Linked DNA regions of Pelodiscus sinensis. The protein of the gene in region 2 purifies or fractionates together with the protein of the main gene of each other region. This does not show direct contact. Links are inferred from orthologs where the notes say so. Each region holds a gene or a part of one and is shown on either strand. Other genes may lie near its edges.

The links. The genes of interacting proteins can lie anywhere in the genome.
Region 1: the proteins of WASF2 (region 2) and CYFIP2 purify together in Homo sapiens (co-immunoprecipitation; 3 studies listed by BioGRID and IntAct, with this or other methods). This does not show direct contact. The link is inferred for Pelodiscus sinensis from reciprocal best matches to the Homo sapiens genes WASF2 and CYFIP2.

What each region holds. Positions count from the first base shown.
Region 1 is NC_134727.1:39,280,299-39,290,345, reverse strand, and holds the start of CYFIP2 (cytoplasmic FMR1-interacting protein 2), read right to left. Parts: upstream 4,495-10,047; 5' UTR 4,335-4,494; intron 1-4,334. UniProt on the Homo sapiens protein: Involved in T-cell adhesion and p53/TP53-dependent induction of apoptosis. Does not bind RNA. As component of the WAVE1 complex, required for BDNF-NTRK2 endocytic trafficking and signaling from early endosomes.
Region 2 is NC_134735.1:12,302,304-12,312,266, reverse strand, and holds the start of WASF2 (actin-binding protein WASF2), read left to right. Parts: upstream 1-5,629; 5' UTR 5,630-5,767; intron 5,768-9,963. UniProt on the Homo sapiens protein: Downstream effector molecule involved in the transmission of signals from tyrosine kinase receptors and small GTPases to the actin cytoskeleton. Promotes formation of actin filaments. Part of the WAVE complex that regulates lamellipodia formation.

The DNA of each region.
Region 1 (10,047 bases), on a different chromosome or scaffold from region 2:
ACAGTCCAGTATTCGGACTTTGTGTCCGGTAAACAAATGGAGAAAAATATGTCTGGTATTTTCTAAGTAAGTACTTTTTTTGCTTTTCCTGGGCCCGGCTCGGGTCTGACAAAAGCCCACTTGGGACACGCGGCAATTAAAGGGGCCGCGACTGCATTTTGTCCTGGCCTCCCAAATCCCCGCCCCTCCCAGGTCTCCCTGGTTACTCCCCAGTGCTTTTTTTTTTTTTGATCTCGACAAATTTTTGTCTGGTATTTTTTTTAAACCATCTGGCAACCCTAAGGCTCTACAGGAATAATAAATCTATTCACAAAACCAGCACTGCTAAAGTGCAGCCAGCAAGCGATATCCAGCACTTCGCAATTGATGCCTGAGGACAAGAGGGCCAAGCTTTTCAAAGGATGCCATACGTTGGGAATTTCAAGGCCCACGCAGAGCAGACAAGTTCTTATACATGAAGGTCTCATCAGAAAGACCTCACAGAATGAACTGCACGGAACTCAACGGCCTTCCGCCAAAAGGACACGGGATGAGTCAGTTCCCACCGAATTTGAACTTGGAATTTCAAGGGTTGGCCCATTATTTTATGCCTAAAACTTCAAACAAGCTTAAAGTGTTGGCCATGAAATGTCTTTGGACCACAGTGTCTCTTTTAGCTACTTCCCGGGCCATGATCTACTGGCAAGTCTTGATCCTTCAGAGTAATCGAATTTTGGGGGGAAGGAAGAAGGCCCCTCACTCCAGTGTGGGGCAGGTTCCCCAATAACTGGTGCATTGTATCTGCAAACTACTTGGCAGCCAACAACCGGTGAACTGGCTCTTTGCTTGCCCAGAAGTTGCGGTGGACAAGAACAAAGGAGGAAGCAAGTTGGGTCATGACATCTAGTTGGCTTGCCCTCAGCCAGCAGATGAGACTCATGCTGGTGCCATAACATCTTAAAGGGTCAGGATAAGGCAAGAAACAGCATGGGCTACTCTAAAGTGTGGCACCTTTAGTCTGGCTGCCCGTCACACCCTGGAGAACAGGCAGTCGGGACACGGGGAAACAGACAGAGGAGTGGCAAAGTTGGCCACGTAGGGGAAAAGCGGAGCTCCGGGGAAGACAGATGAGCATGTGCATTAAGCCCCAGTGTGGTCCTTCAAAGACCTGCGTTTGATTCCCAGCAGTGCTGCAGGCTGCCTGGGCAAGGCACTTAATTTCTCTGTGCTAGGTGCAACATGGGGATAATGCTTTTGGGAAAGCACTGTCGGCGTTTGTGATATGCCTCAGACACGCCGGTGTACTGATTTGACCAAAAACTTCACGCAGGAGGCACAAAAGTACAGTAGTCCCGTGCTATTTTGAGAAGACAAGCTGTTGCCAACATGGGTTCAGAGCATATTAGAATGAGGCTACGTTTACGCTACCACCTGCGTCAGCATAATTTACATCACTCCGGGGTATGAATACACCAGCTGTCGCCTGAGCAACATACGGAACACTGACAGTGATGTGTCAGCGGGAGAGCAGCTCCCACCCAAGTAGCTTCCGCCACTCGCAGAGGTGGCTTTATTATGGCGACAGGAGAGCTCTCTTTCACATCGGCATAGAGCGTCTCCACCAGACATCTGTACAGCTGCAGGGCTGTATGCCTAGAAATGGCCTTTGTCGAAGAATAATCACAATTGCTGGGAGATGGCAAAAAATAGCTGGTATTAAATAGCCTCGTGTGAAATGAAATGTTGCACATAGACAAAGAAATATCACTGATTGCTAATCCCTTGAAGAGCAATTTCCTCTTTTTCTTGAAGACAGACAAGTTGATACATGCATATTATTATTATTACTACGAATTATTACATTGTTCCGCCTTTGACTCCTCAGTGGTCATGTTTGTTCCATGGACCCTCGCTTTGGAATCATAGAACCAGAGAGTTGGAAGAGACCTCAGGAGGTCATCAAGTCCAGTCCCCTGCCCAAAGCAGGACCAATCCCAACCAAATCAATCCAGCCAGGGCTTTGTCAAGCTGAGACTTAAAAACCTCTAGGGATGGAGACTCCACTACTTCCCTAGGGAACCCATCCCAGTGATTCCCCACCCACCTAGGGAAATTGTTTTTCCTAATATCCAACCTTGACCTCTCCCACTGCAACTTGAGACCATTGCTCCTTGTTCTGCCATCTGTCACTACTGAGAACAGCCTCTCTCCATCCTCTTTGGAATCTCCCTTGAGAAAGTTGAAGACTGCTATCAAATCCCCCCTCACTCTTCGCTTCTGCAGACTAAACAAGCCCAAATCCCACAGTCTCTACTCGTAGGTCATGTGCTCCATCCCCCTAATCATTTTGGTTGCCCTCTGCCGGACCCTCTCCAATGCATCCACATCCTTTCTATAGTGGGGGGCCCAGAACTGGACACAATACTCCAGTTGTGGGCTCACCAGAGCTGAATAAAGGGGAATAATCACTTCTCTAGATGTGCTGGCCATGCTCCTCCTAATGCAACCTAATATGCCATTCGCCTTCTTGGCTACAAGGGCGCCCTGTTGACTCATAACCAGCTTCTCATCCACTGGAATCCCCGGGTCCTTTTCTACTGAACTGGTACTTAGCCAGTCCATCCCCAGCCTGTAACAGTGCCTGGGATTCTTCCATTCCAAGGGCAGGACTCTGCACTTGTCCTTGTTGAACCTAATCAGATTTCAAGGCATCAGCTGATTACATAAACGTTGCTAACAAAAATCAGCCGTATATATTAGGGCTAAATTCCTGTCTGAGGAATGACGCTGGATTTACACTGAAAGTGGACAGCAGAATTTGGCTCCAGGAATCTACCAAGGTGACTGGCATCTGGCAGCCCTCCTAATGTAAAACTTGGACATGTTTTTTTTTAGTTTCCTGGGCTGAGCAGGAAGTGTCCAACGGTTTAACGACCTGACACAATTACGGGAGACCCCTGTGATCCAAGAAACACAGCTAGAAACAAACCACCATGCTGAAAGCAACGGCTGGCTAGGAGGGCCGAGCTATGCAATATCCTGTTCCTTGCCAAACTACAAACGTGTGTCTGTAAATGCCAGTCCCCTCTCCTCCCCCACCAAAAAACCAAACCCCAGCAAATACACAGGAGCAAGCACAAAGGTTTCCACTTGTCTCTCACTGGTCAATCCTGATTCCTCGGGACATGGACGTTTCCTGCCAAATCCATTCCCTTCTTTTTACTCAGGGCCTGTCTGGCACCAGACTGGGAGTGAACGTGCCTCTCCTTCTTTCAAGCCCACTCAAACGTCCTGGGTTCGAAAGTTCACCTCCAGCGTGATGGGTGGGCCCCCCTCTTGTTTTGAAAACGTCTCACCGCTGAAAAGTGGCCGTGAGTTTAAATGACAGGAGAGAAAAACTGGTCTGCAACCGCTGTGGGATATGTGGCTTTGCAGACTTCCAAGCCTGTATTTTTGGTTCCTCACTCAAGCCAGCCAAAGTTCAAGTCCCTAATTTCCACCCTCAACGCAAACTGCAACCGCGTCTGCCTCCTCCCCTGCCAGCAGAACCAGGGGGGCACTTTTGATTCTGTTCTGTTCACTGTGTGCGCCTTCACCTCTGCGAGCCACTTGCGCCTTTTATTTTCTGCCCGGGCTCTGTGGCCACGCTGGCTGTGTACCCCGCCGTCCATTTCCCTTTGGGCCGCCCCATTGTTCTTCCACACCCATGTCCTCGTGTCCACGCAGCACGGCTCCGATATGGGCTCGAATTAAACGCTGCCCTTCTGGCCAACTCCTGGCAATGAGGGGAAGCGGCTGCGGTGGGAGGCTGCTGGCTCCCCCAGACTGCAGCCTCCTGCCAGCCCCTCACTCTAAGCTCATCCCATTTGCTGCAGAGGGGAAGGGGGGGGGGGGGAATTGGGCCCTTTAGGCTGCCTGGCGGGTGCACTAGAATAAACAAGGAGGCTCTGGATAAGCCCGCAGCATGCTGGGATCGCTCATCCTGCAACAGCCCCTGCGCTAAGCTGGGCCCCGCAGCGCTCTGTGGCTCGCAGGGCGCAGCTGCACCTGCCCGCGGTGCTTTGCATGGGGACCCCGCACCCCAGGGCCCGTGCAAGCCCGGGGAGGGGGGGCTGCGAGGCACCCCAGGCAAAGCCGGGCAGGGCTCCATGCGGGGCCGGGGGCTGCCTGCCTGGGCGAGCTGTCATGGCCCGGGGCCAAGCGCCCCCCCAGCGGCCGGGATCCCCCTGTTGCGCGGTTCCAGCCCGGGCAGGGCGCAGCGAAGCGGCACCGGCCGTGCCCAGCCCGGTGCTCCCCGGGCCGCCCGGCGCCCCCTGCCCGCGGCGCCCCCAGCCCGGCCGGGCCCCGCCGCTTACCGGCCGCGAGAGGATGCTCCGAGCCGCAGCCGCCTGCGCCGCGATCGGTGTCAGACACACAAAGAGCAGGAAATGGAGCAGCAAGTGCACTTCCTGCGCTGCGCGCCCGCTGCGCGCCCCGCCCGCCTGCGGGATGCTCCGTGCGCCCGCGCCGCGCCGCGCTGCGGGGATGGAGCGACTGGTCCCGCCCTGCGCGCCCCTCCTGCCACGCACACCCGGCACCCACCCACCGCCCTCCCCCTGCACCCACACCCTCCGTCAGCTCACACCCGGCACCCACCCAGCGCCCTCCCCCTGCACCCACACCCCTCCGTCAGCTCACACCCGGCACCCACCCAGCGCCCTCCCCCTGCACCCACACCCTCCGTCAGCTCACACCCGGCACCCACCCAGCGCCCTCCCCCTGCACCCACACCCTCCGTCAGCTCACACCCGGCACCCACCCACCGCCCTCCCCCTGCACCCACACCCTCCGTCAGCTCACACCCGGCACCCACCCAGCGCCCTCCCCCTGCACCCACACCCTCCGTCAGCTCACACCCTGCACCCACCCACCGCCCTCCCCCTGCACCCACACCCCTCCGTCAGCTCACACCCGGCACCCACCCACCGCCCTCCCCCTGCACCCACACCCCTCCGTCAGCTCACACCCGGCACCCACCCAGCGCCCTCCCCCTGCACCCACACCCTCCGTCAGCTCACACCCTGCACCCACACCCCTCTGTCAGCTCACACCCTGCACCCACCCACCGCCCTCCTCCTTCACCCACACCCCTCCGTCAGCTCACACCCTGCACCCACACCCCTCTGTCAGCTCACACCCTGAACCCACCCACCGCCCTCCTCCTTCACCCACACCCCTCCGTCAGCTCACACCCTGCACCCACCCACCGCCCTCCCTCTGCACCCACACCCCTCCGTCAGCTCACACCCTGCACCCACCCAGCGCCCTCCTCCTGCACCCACACCCCTCCATCAGCTCACACCCTGCACCCACACCCCTCCATCAGCTCACACCCTGCACCCACCCAGCGCCCTCCTCCTGCACCCACACCCCTCCGTCAGCTCACACCCTGCACCCACCCACCGCCCTCCCCCTGCACCCACACCCCTCCGTCAGCTCACACCCTGCACCCACCCACCGCCCTCCCCCTGCACCCACACCCCTCCGTCAGCTCACACCCTGCACCCACCCAGCGCTCTCCCCCTGCACCCACACCCCTCCGTCAGCTCACACCCTGCACCCACCCACCCTCCTCCCCCTGCACCCACACCCCTCCGTCAGTTCACACCCTGCACCCATCCAGCGCCCTCCCCCTGCACCCACACCCCTCCGTCAGTTCACACCCTGCACCCACCCAGCGCTCTCCCCCTGCACCCACACCCCTCCGTCAGCTCACACCCTGCACCCACCCACACCCCTCCGTCAGCTCACATCCTACTGCCACCCACCCACCGCCCTCCCCCTGCACCCACACCCTGCGAGGCTGATCTGAGGAATAGAAAATCTTCCCTCTGTGGAGACACAAACAACTGGGCTTGTTTGGCCTGATCTGAAGAAGGTGGAGGGAAGATCTGAGCGCTCTCTCTAAATACACCCAAGGGAAACATACCAGGGAGGGAGAGGAGGGATTTCAGTTATGCGCCAGTGTGGCCACAAGAACAAATGGATAGATACAGGCCTCCAACAAGTCTGGGCTTGAAATAGAATCACAGAACTGGAAGGGACCTCGAGAGGTCATCGAGTCCAGTTCCCTGCCCTCGTGGCAGGACCAGGCGCCATCTAGATCAGCCCTGACAGGTGTCTGTCTAACCTGCTCTCAAATATCTCCAGAGATGGAGATTCCACAACCTCCCTGGGCAATTTATTCCAGTGTTTAACCACCCTGACAGGGAGCTTTTCCTCATGTCCTACCTAAACCTCCCTTGCTGCAATTTAAGCCCATTGCTTCTTGTCCGATCCTCCGAGGCCAAGGAGAACAATTTTTCTCCCTTCTCCTTGTTGCACTCTTTTAGGTACTTGAAACTGCTACCATGTCCCCTCTCAGTTTTCTCTTTTATAAACTAAACAAGCCCAATTCTTTCAGTCTTCTCTCTTTGCTCCTGTCCTCTAGAACTTTCATCGTATTTGTTGCTCTTCTCTGGACCCTCCCCAATTTCTCCACAGCTTTCCTGAAAAGCGGTGCCCAGAACTGGACACAGTCCTCCAACTGAGGCCTAGTCAGCGCAGAGCAGAGCGGAAGAAGGACTTCTCGTGTCTTGCTCACAACACTCCTGTGAAAGCCGCCCAGAATCAGGTTTTATTTTTTTGCAATCTGATGAAGGTTTCTGTCCATACGAGGAGGAAGTTCTAGCACAGCCTTCCAAGGGGAGTTGTGGGGGCAAACATTCGAGCTGGCTTCCAGTACTAAGTAGGATACGTTTATGGAGGGAATGGGATACTGGCAACAAGGCCCAATGGGTAGAATTTGAAGCTAGACAAATGAGTACACAAAATAAGGTGGAAGGCGGTAACAGAGGGGGGATTTATCCTCTGGAGCAAGTTTCCAAGGGGTGTTGGGGAGTGTCCTGCTCTGGAAATCTTTAAGTGAAATGTGGATGTTTTTCTATGCCCGTACGGTCACAGCTAGTGGACTTGGAACAGTAATAAGCCAGGGAAGTTCTGTGGCCTGATTCATACAGGAGGTTGCACTGGGTCAGGGGTGGCCAACCAGATAGAGACAAAGAGCCAAAATAGCTGTGGATAGAGTGTGAAGAGCCATGTATTATATATTTAGTTGTATTGATGGGGGGGATGTATGGGGATGGGGGGGTATAGACAATTTGAAGTGCCTGTTTCCCTCTAGCTTGTTGATCTCTGGTATGGTTTACTCGTTTTTTTACTTATGAAGATGATGGCTTTTTTCTAGTCCTAAAAATTCAATCTGTCCCAGACTGCAAATCTGAGAGGTTCAAAACAATATGGGAGAGACCCACATCTCAGAATAATGGCTTCAGCCTGGCAAACAATCGCCTCTGAATTTTCTTTAAAGAAACCCAGTGTAAACTAGGTACATGCTGATTCTTTTTTTGCCCTGGGATTTAAATATGACATCTGTGTTGGCTGCCTTATTCTGCATCCATGAGGACTTTCAGTTTAAGGTGTTTCAGCCCCCCTGCTCTAACCCAATCCCCCCTCTCCCTCAGAGCCAGGCATCCCCCAGCCTCCCTGCAATAACCCAATGTCCTCGTCCTCCCCCAGAGCCAGGCACGCCTCTCCCCCCACTCTAACCCCATCCCCCTCACCTCCCCCAGAGCCCGGCACCCACAGTCCCCCTCTTCCCCCTGCTCTAACCCAATGCCTGGGTCCTGGAGCTGCTGCCACCATGCGCTTCTCCCTCCAGGCACTGGGGCACGTGTGCAGAGGGGCCGGCCGGGAGCAGTCTGGGCGTGCAAGAGCCACTTTTCTTTAAGCAAAGAGCCGCATGCAGCTCGGGAGCCGCAGGTTGGCCACCGCTGCACTAGATGATCACCGGGGCTCCTCCAGTCTTAAAATCTAGGACACTCTGGGCACAAAGTTTTAAAAGGATAGCGCTCAATGAAGTGGCCGTTCAAGCAAAACTGTGTTGGGTAAGGGGCTGATCTCAGGCTGGTTCTTTGCCTAAAAATTAGCCCCACCGTTGGGAAGCTGGCTGCCGAAAAGCCAGTGCTGGCGTGATCCATGTCTTTCAAAGCCTGTGACGTGAAGTCAGGCATCCATGATGTTCGGGCGCCCACGTGTGAGCTCGGTAGTTCCCAGAGCTGCTTGGCATCTGCCAAGGGCTGCTCATTTCTAGGCGAGCATCGTGGGAGGGTCGACAGAGGGGGCAGAACGCAAAGAGATCCCCTTTCGTCTCATACACAAATGCGCAACGTTGCTCCGCCTGGAGTTGTGGTCTGACTAGCGTGACTGTCTGCTAGAGCGGGGGTTCTAAACGTTTTGGCCTGCAGCCCACCCCACCCAATGACAGCCTTTCCACGGACCGCCAGCCAACCACCCAGATGACAAAAAGAGTGCAGGAGCGGGTGGGGGTGCGAGGTTGGGGTGGGAGCGGGCTGGGGATGGGGGTCAGGCTGCGAAGTTGGATGCAGGAGCAGGCTGGGAATGGGGAGTCTGGGCAGGAAGGGGATACAGCAGTGGGGTGTGGGCAGGAGAGGTGTATGTGAGGGGGATGGAGGTAAGGGGTCTGGGCACTTCCGCTGCTCCCAGACTCCGCCCCCTGCTGCTCCCATTGGCTGGGATTCCAGCCAATGGGAGCAATGTGAAAAGTGGCCAGGGAAGTGGTTCACCGTGTTGTCCATTCCTCCAGCCGCCAGGGGAAGGGGAGCAGCAGCAGCAGCATGCAGATCTGCTTCCTCCCTGGAATAAGCCAGATCTGGCCTGTGAGGCTTGGGGCTCCCGCCCAGCGAGAAGCTGGTGCTGGCACTCCAACCACACGAGGGGCTGCAGAGCTGGAGCAACAGTGCAGGCTACCCGCTGTGGCGGGGAGGCGGGCGAGCCCTGAAGGGGTCTGCAGACCACACTTTGGCTACGTCTACACTGGCATGATTTTCCAGAAATGCCTTTAACGGAAAAGTTTTCCGTTAAAAGCATTTTTGGAAAAGCGCATCTAGATTGGCAGGATGCTTTTCCGCAAAAGCACTTTTTGTGGAAAAATGTCTGTGGCCAATCTAGATGCGCTTTTCTGCAAAAAAGCCCTGATCGCCATTTTCGCCATCGGGGCTTTTTTATGGAAAACAAATCTGAGCTGTCTACACCGGCCCTTTTGCGCAAAAGGACTTTTGCCCGAACGGGAGCAGCCTAGTATTTCCGCAAGAACACTGACAATCTTACATGAGATCGTCAGTGCTTTTGCGGAAATTCAAGCGGCCAGTGTAGACAGCTGGCAAGTTTTTCCGGAAAAGTGGCTGATTTTCTGGAAAAACTTGCCAGTCTAAACACAGCCTTTGAGAACCGCTGTGCTAGAGCTAATGAGCAGCTAAAACAGGGAGGCTTACAGCTGGGGGAGCAAAAGGAGAGTTTATGCTACTAAGGGGGACCCGCTCACAGTTTCCCCTGTGCTCATCAAGCTGTTTCAGTGAAACAGACTGTGACAGGGTAGGCAGAAGGGGTTAAAAGCCTGTGGGCAGAGGAAGTCCCGCCCCTCCACCCAGACTGGGCATGCTCCAAGTGTTGGGCAGTATAAAAAGGAGCAGCTCTACTCGGTCTGGGCTAGATGCTGGAGAGGAAGGACTTGCTGCAGGAGCAGAGGGACCCCAGCTGGAGACCCAGGAGACAGCATTGAGCCCTCAGAGCCGGAGGAGCCTTAGGGAGAGGCTGGTGTTGTGGACCCAGAGACCACATGGAGCACCCAACACTGGATCTGGTAGGAAGTGGCCGGGGGGGGGGGGGGGGCGAGTACCTCCCACCTGAGTGAGCTCAGCGTGTTGCGGCGGGATTCCCTGCTGAGTGAGTGGCGGATCATGCCCCCACTGACAGGGCCCTGGGTTGGGGCCCGGTGGAGTAGGGTGGGCCTGGGCCCCCTTACCAGGACTACTGCCCCAAACCCCTGTGTTACTGACTCTGGCCATTAGGCGGTGCTGCCCCAAACCCAGGGGCTACACTATTGAATCAGAACAGACCGGACTGTCAAAGGGCACCAGCGGCCTGGCAGCCGAGCTGGCGGTGTCCACACCCCTTGCACCAGCCCCGGCA
Region 2 (9,963 bases):
ACCCTTACTTCTGCGCTACTGTCTGCAGAGCTGGATCCTTTACACTCAGCTCTGAAGACCGCAGTGCTGAAGTACAGGTGGCATGGTATGGTACTGCCAGCTTACCTGTGCCCCGCTGCTGGCAGGGCTATGCTTTCGGAGCTGGGTGCCTAGCCAACAGCCACTGTTTTCTGTCCACCCAGATCTAAAAGCGGAGCAGAAGGGTGGCAATATCACACCCACCGTAAAATAACATTGAGGACTCCCCCTCCCCGCAACTCCCTTTTGGGTCAGTACCCCTAATTTTAGAAACTCTGGTCTCCCCCATGAAATTTGTATAGCACACTGAAGACCAGATTTCCCAGGGGAGACCAGATTTTACAGTCTGTGACACATTTTTCCTGGCCGTGAATTTGATAGGGCCCTACCGTTAGGGCAGCATGTTGTGGAAAAGCCTGTAATACATCTTCCCATAGCATTGGCTGGCGTTCCGAGCCTCTTATATAAGCATTAGATTTTTTTTTTTCCCCCATTGTAAAAAAAGACAGCACAAGCAAAATAGCTGAAAAGATGCATGGCCACAGCTGCAGCTGGCGTAGGGCTGTTCTTCTGGTCACTTTGGCAGTCTGTATGGCAGTTTAGCTGGAGAATCATTTACATTCAGAAAATGCAGGAAGGCAATTGGCAGGCGACCACAGCCCTTATAGAGAAACAAGTGTCAGGGGGTATCAATCACTTTTGTTTGGGATATTGCAGTTCAGCAGAAATTCAGGGGTTATAAAGAGACTCTCTCACGCAGACTAGCAATAAAGGTTGCAGTGCAGATACAGATTACAGGGTTCCCTGGGGGCTGTGACACCTATTGATGGAGGCAAATCCTCTTCAAGGCAGCATGGAAAACCTGGAAGCGAGAACCCTCTCATGCCTTCCTATAGATGGAGCCCACGTCTGTGCGTTACAGCTGTGTAAGTGTGTTACCACAGGAGAGAGAGATGGAGAGGTGTTGGCTAGGGGTGGGGCATGCCTGATTAGTTCAACTTTGCAGGGGCGATTTTGCCAGGAAAAGGGTGTAGCTGTTTGAGCAAGACCAAGTGGGAGGAGGGGGTGGAACCGGGTTGCCAGGGTTGACTATTTCAAGGGCGTAGGGAAGCGGGATGCATGCAGGCCCAGGGGTGCTAGCGATGGGTGCCGGGCAATGTTGGTGCGGTGTTCCGTAGCGGGTGCTGATGGCGATAGGTGAGCTCTTGAGCGATAAGAACACTGGCTTGTTTACCCCAGTTGCTGCAGCATTCAGCCGCGGATCGATCTACTGCTGCAGAGGGCTTGTCTTTCCAAGGGGCTGTGCACTAGGAGGGACAGAATGGGCGAGAAATGCGGCGAAATAGTCACATATCATATATGTCTGTGTGCAGTGGGTCTCAGACAGAGCTGTGGTGTGAAAAACAAAGGGGCACATTCTCTCTCCTGCTACACTCTGTACTGCTCGTACAATGCAAAGGGAATAGAGATTGGCTGCATCCCCCTAGTTTGGGATGAGAGAGTCCTGAGTGGGTGCTGAGCCAGAAGCACAATCAGCTCCGATGCTCTCCTCCCTGCAGGGGCCAGGAAGAGCATGCAGGCACAGGGAAGGAGGAGTGGGTGGACCACGAATCATTCCAGCTTTGCTGAAGTAGGGGATGGTCTCTTGCCAAACTAGTCCTGGTTACAGCAATTCCCAGGTTGCTCTAACCTGCACCAGGGTCAAAAGAGAATCAGGAAACACACCCAGTTTGCAGAGCACAATCTCTGCGAAACAGAAAAGCTGGCCCAAGGATAGAACTTGCATTCAGGAAGGACTGCATTGATGTCAGCTGGTAGTACTGGGTCAGCAGCAGCATTTTGCAAAGGATACAAGTCAGCACCAAAGCAATTCTAAACTGAAAAAAAAAAAAAAAAAACCAACAACCAACCAGAAGCTAGGGGCTAGCATTCAGCAATTTATTAAGTGTAGTTGATTTTAAAATTGGATTAGTACTTTTGAATGGACAGACATGTACGTCTTTTATAGTGTTAACTGCATGTTGGTCCATTACTTTTCCCCAGCCAGTTGTGTATTTTAAGTAAAACAAGCAATTAGTGAAGAAACTTAAAACTATAGCCAGGGAAACAATTGCAGTGAGTGGGTGGGGGAAGAGTTAAATAACACACTCCGGTGCATCTATTGTACATGTTTAAAATTCTGATTCAACTGTTCACACCTGCCGTTTGTGACACGGAAGCTGTTGGCTCCCATTTCTTCTTTTCCCTTTGAGGGTGCCATTTCTGAACAGAGAAGGGGATATCTGTGTTTCCAGTAGTGATGCACACTTATTACCGCTTCCTTCACATTACTGCCTCCTTCATTCCACTTTTCTGCCCTAGATCTCAAAGGCTGTGTCTACACTGGGCCACTTATTCCGGAAAATCAGCCACTTTTCCGGAATAAGCTGCGAGCTGTCTACACTGGCCCTTGAATTTCCGGAAAAGCAACGATGCTCTACTGTACAAAATCAGCCGCTATTCTGGAAAAACTATTCTGCTCCCGCTCGGGCATAAGTCCTTATTCCAGAACACTGTTCCGGAAAAGGGCCAGTGTAGACAGCCCAGTAGTCTTTTCCGGAAAAAAGCCCCGATTGCGAAAATGGCGATCGGGGCTCTTTTCCGGAAAAGCGCGTCTACATTGGCCACAGATGCTTTTCCGGAAAAAGGGCTTTTCCGGAAAAGCAGCCTGCCAATGTAGACGTGCTTTTTCCGGAAATACTTATAACGAAAACTATTCTGTTTTAAGCATTTCTGGAAATTCATGCCAGTGTAGACACAGCCAAAGTGTTTTCCCAATGCCAGGAGCATCATTGTCCCCATTCTATAGATGGGGGAGGAGACAGAGGCACAGAGAGAAGCAGTGACTTGCTCATGGCCTGCCAGCAAGCCAGCAGCAGCCTGGGAATAGAATCCCAGTGCAGTACTCCCGCCACTCTCACCCTGATTCTCTTCAGTAATTTATGCCCATTGGCTCTACTGGGACTGCTCACATGCAAAAAGATGAATGCGCATAAGTCTTTGCAGAGTTGAAGACATCTGCTTCTAGAAGGCTTACAGCTTACTTACGTTGTCGACTTTTTTTCCAGTTTTTATATTGGTAATTTTTTCCCCAACTCACATATGTTACAATCAGGTGAATCGTTTAGTCCTTCCCAGGAGATGCTAACTTGACTTTGCTGCCTTTGCCACTAGCAAAGTATTAGAAATGAATTCCCGGGCTTTACTGGAGAGAGAAAATCTCCCAGCACCAATGTAACAGAAACTGCTAGAAGCTGAGACTAAGCCTCCAATCCTGCTATCAGATGTGCACAGACAGACCTCTGTGGCTGCAAGCAAACTGGCTTGAAGTCAATGTGGTTTCATCCACATGAATCAGCCTGCAGGACCAGGGCCAAAAACTGGACTAGATCAGATGTATCGAGTTTCTTTGCACAGTCCAAATATTTCAGGATTTCAGTCTGTCAAGCTATGGTCTCCAAAATGGTTTAACAAAAAGTCTTGCCTTGCACCCAAAAAGCAATGCCAGTAATGCAGCATTGAGAGAGCATCCCAAACATGAGGATCCTGTGAATATGGAATAAATCATGCCACCATGGACACAAGATGTTATTTTAAAAAGGGCTTCCTGCCCGCTACAAAATATTTCTATTTCCTTAGATTTTGTCTGTTTAGTAGCAACACAATCTGAACTCTCTAACTCCATATCCCTGCTCTTCCATAGGGAGTGAGGAAGGGAGGTGGAGAAAGCTCCCCAAGGTAAAGGGCAATTGAGGGGGCAGATTATCTCAAACCGAGGCTACCTCCTTCCCACCATTAACAGGGTCTTCTCCGTGACCTCCTTGGCTCTCCCAAAATCCTGCAGTCTTTTCTTTTTTAGCAGTTGCCTTCCTCATCATCACCACACCTCATCCTTAGAATTCCTCCATCCCCTTCTGCCAGGGTCCCCTCTAGTTCTTGTAGCTTCCTGCCTCCACCACGCTCCCTGGAGCGAGAAGGGTCAGTAGCAAGGTCCTTTCCCTCTCTTGTATGGCCACCCCTATTGTTACCATCACATCTGTCTTCTCCTTCACCCTCTTCAGCCCCAACAGGTCCTCCTCCACTTTCTGCTTCCTCATCTCTGCTTACCTCTACTAGGGCTGCCTCCTGATCCATTGTCTCTGCCAGCCTCTTCTCCCTGACTACCTCTCCCTGGGTTCTCCCCATCGTTACAGCCTCCCTTGCCCTCTCCATCTCTTCTCTCTCTTCAACTGGGCCCTATCTCAGCCCCAGTCTTTCCCTGCTCCCTCTGCAGGGCCATTACCAGGTGGTGGGCAAAAGGGAGTCCCCCATAGTCTTCAATGAAAGACAACAGCCATTGCCACCCTTTACCATCCGTGTCTGTCCCATCCCCCAATCAGTGTTGTAATGGACAAAATGAAGTGGCTAACCTAACCTAAGCTCCATGTCCCTAATGAGATGTGGCATTAGATTAGCCACAGCTACACTACTGACCTCTCTCCTCTGTCCTTTCTTACCCTTCCCTTTCTGCCCACTGCTGGTATCCCAAAATAGCTATTCCGCGTCTTAAGAGCAAGCCTGTTGTCCTGAAATATAATGGGCTTGCTATTCCGACGTCCCTGAAAACCTCATTGCACAAGGGTGAAGGACATTTCGGAATGGTGCCTTATTTTGAAATTTGGCATGGTGTAGACAGCGCCAAATTTTGAAATAAGCTATTTTGAAATGACATCAAAATAAGCTAAATACGCTACACAATTTGCACTATGCAAATTGTGTAGCTTATTTCGAGGTAAGGGTGTGGTGTAAATGCACCCCAAGGATACGTCTCCACAGCAACATTATTTCAAAATAGCTAGTGTTATTTTGAAATAACTTAATCTGTGTCTACACAGCCGGCAGTTATTTCAAAGTAATGTCGAAATACTGGCAAGCTGGAGGATTTCTTACTCCGACTCCTGTAACCCTCATTGTAGGAGGAGCAAGGGAAGTCAGAGGAAGAGTGCTCTATTTCAAAATAAGTGCCGTGTGGATGCGCCCAGTTTCGAAATAAGCTATGCAGGTGACGCAGCTCAATTTGCATAGCTTATTTCCAGTTAAGCCCTGTTGTGTAGATGCACCCCAAGTGCACCCCCCATATCTATTTCACAAATGGGTCAGTCATACTGGTATGACACCCCCACTCCTCCAGGTGGAACCTTCCTTGGAGGGTCTCACACCATAGAGAAGAAGGGCAAAGTCCAAGTGCAGTAATAGGAGGAGTCCAGGAAGGGGCAGGCCAAGCAGTTCTCAAAATAGGAAGCACAATCTTTTCCGGCCGCTCCTAATCCCCGTGAAATAAAGTGACAGTACCGTGATAATTCAAAATAATCGATTGGCCTCTCCAGAAAATCTTGTTCCGTTTAATCCAAATAGTGTCTGCCCTCTCCCCTCCCGGCTCATATGGCACATTCCACCTTGTTGACTCTTTGCGGTGCTTGCTTGGGTGGGGCCCTGGTGCTGCGCTGGGGAGCATACGCAAATTGCGTAGCAAGTTTGATGGACGCGGCGAGGCGGCCAATCGGCTGCCGAAGGGCTGAGGCGGGGGGCCAATGGGGTCGCGGACCGGTGCTGAGGGAGGCGGGGCGGGCTTCAGTCAGGGCACGGAGTGGAATGGCGGACGGTAGGGGCGGCCCGCCTCGGTGGTAGTGAGCGGAGGGAGCCGGAGCAGAAAGCGAGGCCGCCTAGCGGGGTGAGTGCGCGGGCGCGCAGGGAGCGACGCCCGTCTCCTTGGCTGGCCCCTGAACCTGGGGGCAGCAGCCAGGCCCCTGCCAAATAGGGAGCCGTGCGGCTGGGGTGGGCCCTGCTTCCTGCCATATAATGAGCCATGGGTGGCGCTGCCTGGGGCTCCCCCCGCCTAGGCCTGGCCTGGGGGGCGGGCTCGGCCTGTCCGCTCGGGGCTGGGGGGCTGGCTGCCTCCATCTCCCTGCCTGGGGGTGGCGCTGGAGCAGAGTCTCCCTCACTGCCAAGCGTGTGGGCCCCTGCCTGGCCCTGTGGGGGGCACCCCCTGAGCTGGGGGGGGCGCCAAGGGGGGGGGCTGTTCAAGGGCTTGGCTGCCAGAGAAGGGCAAAGAGCGGGAGAGCCCGTGGAGCCTGCCAGGATCCCTGCGGTATAGCTCTGATTAGCACAGGACGTGCGTTGATAATGGGGCGACAGGCTTTTCTGTAGCACCCGAAAGTAGAGAGAAGAGGCCTGTGAACAGATTTGGGGGTTTGTTGGACGGAGGAGGGTGACTTGGGTGGAAGATTGACGGCTGGGTTTGTTTGTTTTTCTCCAAAGAACCCTTCTTCCTCCCCCACCCCTCTCCCCCAAGGTGCCCACACAGCTGGTGACGTGCCTGCTTGGGCGTGTAAAAAGTTTTGCCTGTTTTGTGAAGCTGGCTGCTTTTGTTGGTGCGAGTTTTTTGAGAGTGGAATTGTGGCACATTGGTATGAAGCTGTTGTCTGCCTGATTGCTGCCTTCTCAGCCCAGAGGTGGCTGCATTTTGGTGGTGGAAGAATTAGTTCTCTTCTGCCCGCCCTTCCCCCCGTCTTTGTGTGTGTGTGTTCTTCAATAAAATGTAGCACTTTAAAGACTAACAAGATGGTTTATTAGATGATGAGCTTTCGTGGGCCAGACCCACTTCCTCAGATCAAATAGTGGAAGAAAGTAGTCACAACCATATATACCAAAGGATACAATTAAAAAAAAAAAAGAACAAATATGAAAAGGACAAATCACATTGCAGAACAGGAGGGGGATGCAGGGGGGGGGGGGACGGAAGGTAAGTGTCTGTGATTTGTCCTTTTCATATTTGTTCATTTTTTTTAATTGTATCCTTTGGTATATATGGTTGTGACTACTTTCTTCCACTATTTGATCTGAGGAAGTGGGTCTGGCCCACGAAAGCTCATCATCTAATAAACCATCTTGTTAGTCTTTAAAGTGCTACATTGTCCTGCATTTTGCTTCAGCTACCCCAGACTAACACGGCTACATCTCTATCACTGTTCTTCAATACTGATTCTTGGTCTCTTCTAGGACATTAGCTTAGGAGTTCTGTAGCTGGTGGGATATGAAAGGGATAGTTTAGGAAGCTAACCTAGCTGTGACTCAGTCTGAAGACAATACTCTTCCTGAAGATATTCTTCAGATTGTTCTGAATTATCTTGTAGGCCTGCATTAAAACTGCTGCTTCAGGATATGAGCTGTATTCTTTTGAAGCAAGGGAGTTGATAGAGACAACAGCTTAAGGGCCCTGTCTACAAAAGGGAAATTTTCTAAAACTTTTAATGGGTGCCAACATTGATTCAACTCTTCTGTTAGCAACAGTGTCCTAGTGCAGATTGGGCAATACGTGTTCTTAACACCACCTTATATCTCTCTGCTAAGAAGAGGTTTGATCAGTGCAGTGTTAAAAATGTTGGCAAGCCGTCTGTGACATCCAAAGCTGCAATCAGGAGTGGAGCAGAACTGATATAATCAGTGGGTGGGGAATGCATAGAAAATATTCTTGGTGTAAATGGGGCTATAATTTACAAAGCCCTCTCTGGTCCTCTTGCTTGACTAGCACCCAGAAGTGTGGTCAGCCCTGTGAGAGAGAAAAGTTAATAGTGGAAAAATATGGGAGATCCTCAGAGAATGAGGGTGGCACATAGCTTGTCAGTTCTTCTGCAATGTTGCTTTATGGGGAATGGAGTAAACCCACACACAAACTGGTTGTCAGATGAGGAAGGAAAATAGCCACGATTTTTTTCCCATCAGTTCTAAATGTCTGCAGAACTTGTTACTATTAAAAGTCACAGGAATGAAAATGCCCTTTGTTGTGACTTACTGTACAGTAGAATTTCTGTATCGGTTTCTTTTAGTTTGACTCTTGTGTGGGTTTTTGTGTTAAGTTTTGGTTAAAGGCTATATTGAGCCTCTTGTAAAATGTATTATTAAAATCTTTAACAGACTTGTATAATATTTACAAATTTTAAAAACAGTAATAGCATGACTTTGAAAATCCATTCATTGACTCATGAGTAAGTGCAAAGCTATAAATGGCTGGTGAAAGTAGGTCAAACACAGCTGCAAAATTTGTTTTTATATTTTTAACTTTTTTTAATGTAATACCCTGGTTTGGGGAAGTTCCTCCCAAACTTCACAAGTCTACCCGATTCGAATTCTCATACAATCATCACTTTTAATGCTACTCCCCTGGGTGTGTTGGCAGTGGCAATGATTGATCTCTGAATCATAAAACATGAGCATCTACTAGCAGGATCATCAAGCTCAGTATGTGTAGCCCAGCCAACGCTAGATGGGGACAGCGAGTCACACTGAATGGATGTGGGTTACAGAAAGATCATCTTCCAAGGGAGAACTGAATGTCAACTCCAACTCATCTGATGGAGTGGGTTTTACCCATGAAAGCTCATGGTTCTATGTATTTTTGTTAGTCTCTAAGGTGCCACATAAGTCATTGTTTTTAAAGTTACAGACTAACACAACTACCCCTCTGAAACCTTTTTCCTGTCCACTTACCATTTTGCATGCAAATGGCTCTAGTACTTCTGCTGCTGGTGAGAGTCTTTCCAAGCAGCTGAAGGGTAAAATTAACAGGACTGTGGTTGGTTTCACTGTTTTCTTTAGAACCTGGTGAATAGCAGTGAAAGGGACAACTCAGCTATTGTTTGGGAAAGCTGTTGTCTATTTACCAGGCTGGTGGACCTCCATAAACATTTCATTTTGATTTTGCCTGGTAGATTTCTATTGAAGTTTTCTATTCCTGATTTACAGAAGTGTGTATAGCACAACCCATAATAATTGGAAAAGATGAGAAAATAAGAGTTGAAGACAGCTGAAATAAAGCAGCCTATAGGTAAGGCCCTGCAAATCCACAGACATCTACTTTATATCCACAGCCTCATCCATGGATATGGATGCAGATATCTGTGGCTCATCTTTGCAGATACAAATTTTGCATCTATGCAGGTCTCTAACTATAGGCAGTAGAACTGATAAAAATGCACTAATTTATCTGAAACGCTCTAGTTTAAAATCAAACAAAGTAGTGACTGACTAGTTGTACTATAGGATAGCTACCCACAGTGCACTGCTCTCTGCAGTGCTGCTAGTGAGGATACACTCCATTGGCACAAGCAGTGTGGTGTGGACGTATACAGCCAACTTAATTACTGCAAAGGCTGTATGTCAACTTAGAATCAACTTACGTTTGTGGTATATAGACATGCCCTTGCTAAGGAAAGAGGCATGGACCTGTAAAGAGGTGCAGAGCTATCACTACAGGAGACTTTAGGAATGAGTAATTGATAATGTTCCGTTGAGCAGAATTTTATACCATTGTCACTAGGAATTGCAATGCATACCAAATACACTTGATTTATTTGTAAGTTTTCAGTTCAGAACATGTCTTCTGATCAATGATTGAGTGGGTGACACAAATAATTAAAAAAAAAAACTTGTGTATAAATTAGGGATGTAAAAGAGTAGTCGATTAGTCAACTACCCGATAAGCCTAGGCAGAATGGTGGGGGGAAGCAGGAGCTGGTATTGGGACGAGCCGGCTTAAAAGCTGGTTCCCTCCAGCAAAGTCTCTGCATTGCTGCTTCACCCCCCACACACTGCTGCCTCTATCAGATGCAGCAGTGCGGGAGGCGCGTGGGAGGCTGCTCCGGCAGAAGCCCCTGGCTGCAGGAGTCCCAGCAGGGATTTTTGGGACCCACTGCAGACAGGAGCTGCTGCGGTGAAGCAGCCTCTGTTTGTGGCCAGCCACTGCGGACAGGGGCTGTTGCCAGAGCGGCCTCTGCGGCAAGTGGATCTGGCCATGAACATAAGCTGCTCTGGCAACAGCCCCTGTCCACGGCCAGCCTGGCTGCTGTGAACAGAGGCTGCTCCATAGCA